Linked DNA regions of Oryctolagus cuniculus. The protein of the gene in region 1 interacts with the protein of each later gene in a biochemical or structural test. Links are inferred from orthologs where the notes say so. Each region holds a gene or a part of one and is shown in the gene's direction. Other genes may lie near its edges.

Evidence for each region.
Region 2: the proteins of AKAP1 (region 1) and MYCBP form a complex in vitro, tested with the Homo sapiens proteins (2 studies listed by BioGRID). The link is inferred for Oryctolagus cuniculus from reciprocal best matches to the Homo sapiens genes AKAP1 and MYCBP.

The regions. Positions count from the first base shown.
Region 1 is NC_091448.1:32,671,268-32,674,767, forward strand, and holds part of AKAP1 (A-kinase anchor protein 1, mitochondrial), read left to right. Parts: intron 1-2,159; coding exon 2,160-2,337; intron 2,338-3,500.
Region 2 is NC_091438.1:133,966,199-133,970,132, forward strand, and holds the start of MYCBP (C-Myc-binding protein), read left to right. Parts: upstream 1-1,134; 5' UTR 1,135-1,185; coding exon 1,186-1,269; intron 1,270-1,464; coding exon 1,465-1,537; intron 1,538-3,934. Other genes in the region: GJA9 (gap junction alpha-9 protein), read left to right, coding at 1-118. UniProt on the Homo sapiens protein: May control the transcriptional activity of MYC. Stimulates the activation of E box-dependent transcription by MYC.

The DNA.
Region 1 (3,500 bases):
GGCTAATTAGATTATATTTCATAAATAAGAGGGTACTTCAAATAGTTCATGGGAAAATGGAAGTAAAAGATGAGTTTAGGGATGAGTGTTGTGGTGCAGCTATTAAGCTTCTTTGGAGATCTGCCTCCTGAGTTGTGTTTTTGTTTTTGTTTAAAGATTTTTATTTATTTGAGAGACAGAGTTCAGACAGAGAGGGAAAGACAGAGAAAGGTCTTCCTTCCATTGGTTCACTCCCCAAATGGCCGTAACAGCTGGAGTTGTGCTGATCCAAAGCTAGGAGCCAGGTGCTTCTTCCTGGTCTCCCAAACGGGTGCAGGGGCCCAAGCACTTGGGCCATCCTCCACTGCCCTCCCAGGCCACAGCCGAGAGCTGGATTGGAAGAAGAGCAGCTGGGACTAGAACTGGCACCCATATGGGATGTTGGCACCTCAGGCAGAGGATTAACCCACTGCACCACAGCACCGGCCCCCTAGAGTATCAGAGTTTGAGTTCTGTCTTCACTTTGGGGTCAGCTTTGTGCCAGTGTGCACCCTGAGGGGCAGCAGGTGATGGCTTAAGTATTTGTTTCCCTGCCACCCACAAGGGTGTCACAGATAGTTTGGCTCCAGGCTTTCTACTGGCACAGCCCTGGCTGTTTTGGGAATTTGGAGAGAGAACCAGCTGATGGAAAATCTCTCACTCCTATTGCTCTGCCTTTCAGATAAATGGAAGAAAAAATTTTAAGTTTGGTACAAAAATGTTTAAATCTACACAGGTAAGGGATCTCCAAACATTTGTGAAATTGCTAATTGAAAAAGAACTAAATATGGACTTCAGACTTTTTTCTGCATGAAATAATCATTTTTCTTTGTGTTGCTGAGAACCTTTTGAAGTACCCTCAGAGTTCTCCCTCAGGCCCAGAAGCTGGGTCGCTCTATAGCGTTGACCTGGGAGCGTGGCAGGAACAGGGGCCTGCATCTTGAGGGCCCCTGCGTGCTGGTGCTGCGGGATGTTTGGGGCCTGTCATCTCATCTGGCCCCGGTCCAGCCCCTCTCACTGAGAAGTGCAGCGTTCTATGGGCCAAAGATTGTTTCCTGCAGTTCTCTAAAATGGGCTAGGCCTGCTGCTCCAAGAAGACCTCCCCTGGGTTTGGTATAGGCTGAGACATGGCAGTTCTGTCTTCCTCTAGGAAGACCCTTGTGCTGTAGGGAAGGGATAGGGAACCCTTTTTGCTTTCTGGGAGTATTTGCTCCATGCTTTATTCTCAAGTCACAGTTTTGTTTCCAGGAGGCCTGGCTCAAACCTTCATATTAAGTAACGAAGGGTTTTGTGTAGTCTTCCTTCCCTTCCTGCTCCCTCACTGTGGAGGTCATCTCGAGACATGCACTTCCAGAGCCTTGAGCTGACAGAGGAGCATGGAGGCCAGGACTCTTTGCTGGGAGCTTCTCTTGTTGTAGACAGCTGGCTGGAAGGTAGAACAGACTCTCTGTTGGCCCAAGCACCCCACATGTTGTCTGTAGCTGGGCATGGGGAAAACTGCTGTTGAGGAATAAGGCTTTTAGAGACGATGTGGGGGTTCCTCCAGGGCCTTAATATAGGATGTGCCTGCTGAGTCCCAAAGTGACAGTGAGCTGAGGAATGTCTGGAATGTAGGGAAGACAAGAAGCTGCAGAAAGAGCAACTAGGACTCAGACCCTGAAAGTGGACCTGTCATTAGGAATGCAGACTAGAGACTGTCAGGCCCTGGGCTTCTAGGGTCAGCTGCTGGTCCTGAGGGGCCTGGGCTGGCTGCCTTTTATCCCCCGGCACCTCGTTCTCATCATTGCTTCATTCTGTTTACCTCCCTGAGTCTTAGAGACTCATCAAGGAGGTGGGAGGGAGGGAAACCTCTGGCAGAAAGATTCTATCGAGACCTGTGTGAGGCCCAGTACCACATTCACAGTGGGCTATTGGATGCCCAGAACCTCCCTGCACTGCCTTGGGGTGACACTCCTCCTAAAGGCCACTCTTGGTATTGCAGGACAGTGGGCCTCTGGCTAACTAGCTCATGGTGGCTGCCATCTGGGTGCTGTGTTGTCTTGGGTTGCTCTACCTTTCAAGGATGTGCCAATTCAGAGACTTGTCCTGGGGCCTCGGGGCTTAAAGGTTGTCACAGTGCCTGCTGCCCCTCCCCTTTACAGCTCATGCTGCCTGATGGTGTCACTGTGGAGGTCATCGTGGTCAACCAGGTCAACGCGGGGCACCTGTTTGTGCAGCAGCACACACACCCTACTTTCCATGCACTGCGCAGTCTGGACCAGCAGATGTACCTCTGCTACTCTCAGCCTGGGATCCCTACCCTGCCCACCCCGGTGGAAAGTAAGTGCTGTCCTGGGGCCTGGCAGGGGGGATCTCAGGCTCTGGCCAGGCCATGGGGGAATCCTTGAGGGCTGCATGTCTTGTCCTTGTTCTTGGTGAGGAGGAAGTTATTCTGAGACCCATCGTGGGCAGGGCATCCCTGAATTCTTGCCAATGTTATGGAGTGGTGCTGGGCTGAGTTTCCTCCACCTAGCTAATGGCCAGCAGGCCAAGCTGCTGTTTCCATTGGTTGAGCAGTGTTTTGATGCATGGATTCAAATCTCAGTCTTGCCACTTAGAATCTGTTAAATGGGTGTAACTACTTGTTCTGGGAATTAAGGTTGGCCACTCTGTGTTATACAAAAAACACTTGATGCATATACTGGTTTCTTTAAAAGATCCTCAGCCCAACAAGCCTGTGTGGTAGCTTGGGTCATGTCCATTTAGCATGTGAGGACACTAAGCCTCTGCAATCCAGTGACTTGCCCAGGTGACATTGGAGCAGGAGCTGGGATCCAAAACTAGTCCGACTCCTAAGCCTGTCCTTTGTCACCTGTCCTTTATCATCCTGTCTGCGGGTTTTGAACATCTCTCCACCCACCCTCATCAAGGTTCCTATCCTGGGTCTCCCAGTGGGCTTCAAGGCATCAGGGAACCTTTTGAAATTATAGCATTTTTTTGTGGTTTTTCCCTTTTGGAAGCATAAGGATTTAGTTTTTATCAGAAAACTTAAAATTGGTTCAACTTAGCAGTAAAGACTGAACCAGAGTCCAAGAGGCATCTGTATTAAGGGCTCCCTTGATGGGGTAGGACCCAGTGTAGCCAGCTCCATGTCCCAGATCCTCATCCCTGATGTCCCAGAGCAGTTGCAAGGGGTGCACTGGGGACTCTTACCCATGGTTGCCCCAGGGTAGGGGTGTGTGGCCCTGTGACACACAGCCTTATGCTCTGAGCACCGTCCTGAGGCAAAGACTTCTTAGAAGACCTGGCTGTCACTGGCCTGAGAGTCCCTTGAGTCTCTCCATTGAGATCTATACTCAGGAATGTAAGTCAGGGTCTGGCATCTGAGTTCTGTATTTCCTTGGTTTGTTCTGGCTAATCTGTGTCCCATTTCAGAGCAGTGGGTCTAGACGGAAATGCTTTTCCAGCTACACACACAGCTGGGCACACAGCTAGGCTGAGTT
Region 2 (3,934 bases), on another chromosome or scaffold:
GTCCTGTGAGCCTGGGTTGGTCAGACCCTGCAACAATCCTGTTTGTCCTCCAAATCCTGCAGTGTCCTTGACCAACAGCCTCGCGGGGAGGCGGCTTCCCACCGACCTCCAGATCTGAACAGCTCTGGCTTCTGGACCCGGTGCGCCCTACGTTATCAGCGAAGTAGCCTCGCCCAGGCGGAGCACGGACAAAACGGCCAGGGGCAGCTGTTAGGGCTGTGGCAACTGCGACTCATCTGTGCAGGGACACTTCTGAATTCAAAGACCAAGGGTTGCCAGGTCAGGATTTTTCTTATCTTCATTTTCTATAGCTCTCTTTAGAATGTGTGAAATCCACTAGGTGAAAACCACACGTTCAGCATCGCGGCTACGTGGTTTGGAGCCAGGTTTCCTACTTGGGAGGGGCCCATGGCTTTGGGAAATTGCTCTTGATCCCCATAGCGCCTTCTTTTAGCCCCTTTATCCTCTATCTTTGGACAACGGTGTGTGTGTGTGTGGGGGGGGTGATTTTGTATTTTGTGTATCCTGGGACTCCATAGCGTAGTTTCTTTGTGGACTGCAACCTCAGGTGTACGAAGTGTAACCACAATAAAATACTACACACATCTGTGGCTGTCTCCCACCGGCCTCCCGCATCGTCACCGGTCACCCAACCTCGCCACTTCACCGGCAGCTCGCACACGGCAGGGAGGCTGTGAGGATTCACGCGAAAGCACCCGTGAGCGCTCCGCGGCGCCGGCAGCTGCCGGAGCACGTGGCCGCTCGCCCTCCAGGGCCCGCACCCAGATGTGGGCGCCGCAGCCAGCACGCTCACGCCTCAGCACGCACCTTCGGACACTGGAAACGCACGGATCCCCCAGCGCCCACCGTGCGCGCGCTTCCGGGACGACCGCCCCTCCCGCCCGCGCGCTCGAGGGCCCCGCCCCCTGGCGCCACGCCCCCTCCGGCCGCACCTGGACGCTAGGCCCCAGCTCCCGAGACCTCGCTTCTCCCTCTGCAACCGAATCGCCGCGGCGACCGGAAGAGGCGCTGCTCGGACAGCCCGAGGGGCGGGCGCACGCAGCCTCCCTCGGCTCTGCCCCCGACTGGGGATCCAGAGCGTCCCGGTCGCCATGAAAACAGGCCACACCCCGGCCGCCCCGGCCCGTGGCTCGCCAGTGCGCAGTCGCGTGCGCCCTGCTGCGCATGAGCAGTGCCGGCCGGAGCCCGCCAGCCACGGTCTCCGGCGCCAGCGACGCCGCTGCCGCTGTCACTATGGCCCATTACAAAGTGAGGGGGGCGCGGCGTGGCTGGGGGCGTGTGGGCGGTCGCCAGCTGCGGGTCGGCGCCGGGCGGGAGTGGGAGCGCGCGCAGGTGTGGGGGGTCCCCGCGGTAGCGCGGTGGAGGCGGGGTTGCCGGACTCCCAGAGCCTTCTTCCTGCTCCGGCCCCTGGGCTTCGGCCCCTGACCCGCGGTGTCTCCTCAGGCCGCCGACTCGAAGCGCGAGCAGTTCCGGAGGTACTTGGAGAAGTCGGGGGTGCTGGACACGCTGACCAAGGGTGAGCATGGGCTCCGATAGGGCTCCGCGTGCCCCTCGCCCTGCCGCTCGGCGCTGCGCCCCCGGCGGGCCTCGGCGCGGGGAAGGAGGGCGAACAGGTGGGACCCGTCCGGGTCGCAGCGAGGTGGGCTCGGGGCCGGGCGCTGCCGGCCGCCGCGGGCGGGGCGGCCTGGCTCCCGCTCCCCGCTCTCCCCGCGCCGAGAGCGCAGCTCTTGCAGCTGTTGCAAAGTCGCTCCAACTTCCGCCGCTGTGCCTGGAGCAGCCGCAGTGGTCGTGTTTGCTGGAGACCTGTAGGTGCCGGTTCCTCCCGCCTCGGGGCGTTTGCGGACCCCCCCAGCCCCACCCCCACCCCGTCCCCTGAATCTTAAGACACATTTTTCCCTCCGACCCAGGGCAGCTGGGGAAAACACCAGATACGAAAGAGGGCTGTGCAGCACTCCTCGCTTCCCCCGCTGTCTTGGTCTAATTCAGTTCCTGCTGTGTGTAGATTTCGTATTGAAGGTAGAAATGCAGTGTGTGAAGCCCGAGGACACATCAGAATTTTTATATTGTGCACAAGCTTAAAGCTGGAAGTCCACTGTTACACTGTATCAGTGCCCGCGTGGGTTCAGGATCTACTGGGGGAGATGCTTCAAACAGCAGGGGTCCCAGAGGTGATAAGGGGTCTGCTTGCTTCTGAGCTCAGCAGTGTGTCGCCTGGCTCACTGGCTGGGATTTTCCAGGGTGTAGAACGGAATTGCTGGCAGAGATGAGACCAGGACCATGGGAAAAGAACAGGAAATGTCTGAGAAATAATTTGGTAACTGCTCTGTGTTCAGAAACGAGGGTTTGGGGGAAGCTTCTGGGCCAAGAACTCTCTGGTCTTAGAAGATGGTAGGGCTCTTAATTCCTATGCAGGGATGGCTGTTTGACTTGCTACCCACGTTGGGTTCGATACTAGTCTCCCTGTCTTTGCAAATACGTTTCAGCAAATGTGAAGGAATTCCTCTGTGAAAGGCTGTGCTGTGTTGTCACTGCAACTGTCGTGAATGCTTGGAATGTCATTCCCTCAAAAAATCCAGCAAACTCATTTCTTTAACCATTTTATTCAGGCCTCCTAGACACTGGGGATACAGTAGTGGGGGAAGAATGTCCCAGGCCTCATGCAGTAATATCCTAGCTGGGGAGACACAGCGTAGATAAATACTTAGTGTCAACTAGTGGTAAGTGTTAGGAATGCAAACCTAGCAAGGTTAGGGGGCCGAAGGTGGTGGGTGTGATTGTGCCACTCAGTCAAAGTGTGCGAGTACCAAGGCTTTCCTTTAGAAGTAACTTGCGAACAGAGACCTGAATGAAATGTTGAGTTCCAGGAAGTCTTACAGGTTGATCGTCTTTAAAATCCAGAATGCTCTGCTATCTGAAACATAGTGTCAGCATGACACCACAAGTGGGAAATGCAGCAGCTTGACCCCATGTAATGGGTGCCAGTCATAATGCACATTGTGTAAATTTACCCTTAGAAACACTGTGTCAGTTTGTCTTTAGGCAATATGCATAAGAGGTCTATGAAACAAATAAACTGTTTAGACTTGGATTCCATCCCTAAGATAGTTCATGTATATGCAAATATTCCAAAATCCAGAAAAAAAAAACAATCTGAAACACTCTGGCCCAGGCTTTTTGGATAAGGGATATCAAGGAGGCCAAAGTGGCTGGGTGGAGTGAGTGGCAGAAAGCCAAAACAGAGGACGATAGGATTTGGTAACTGACTGCACAGGAGAGGCACAGCCTTGTGGCCACGTGGGGTTTTTCCTTCATGAGGGTGGAAGATCCTGGAGCCGCCTTTTCCCTTGCACACACCCACTGCACTGTAACTCTTCATCTCCTTAGATTTCCACTCTCCGTAACACCAGTGTAGTGTCTACTGGTATAATTTAGTTTAGAGTTTTATTTTCAGCTTCAAACATAGGTTCTTTATACAAATTAGTTTTTTATCCAGCTATTTCCAAGAAGATTTGAACTGCTTATAACAAAATACTAAAAGAGAATGGCTAAAGATGATAGATCTTTAGAAGAGAAGGCATTTTAGTTATTTTGAGCACTATATCAACCTCTAAACATTCTAGCTGCCTAGGCAAAAAAGGGGAACATAATCAGGCAAAGAGTTTTCCTTCTCTTACTAAAAGGAAGTATATTTCATCTATAGAAAAGCACAGGAAACAACATTTACATTCGATTCTTTATTCAGGTTTTAAGGACCATGGACAAATTTAGAAACTGAAAGAAGTGGGGTGGGAGAGAAGGGGGAGGAAAGGGTAAGAGTATGAATATCCATGTCTCAGAAATTCAGGGTTCAGTAGAGCTCAGTAGGAATTAATGGAAGAAGAACAGGCTGGAGCATATGAAGAAAGAAGTAATA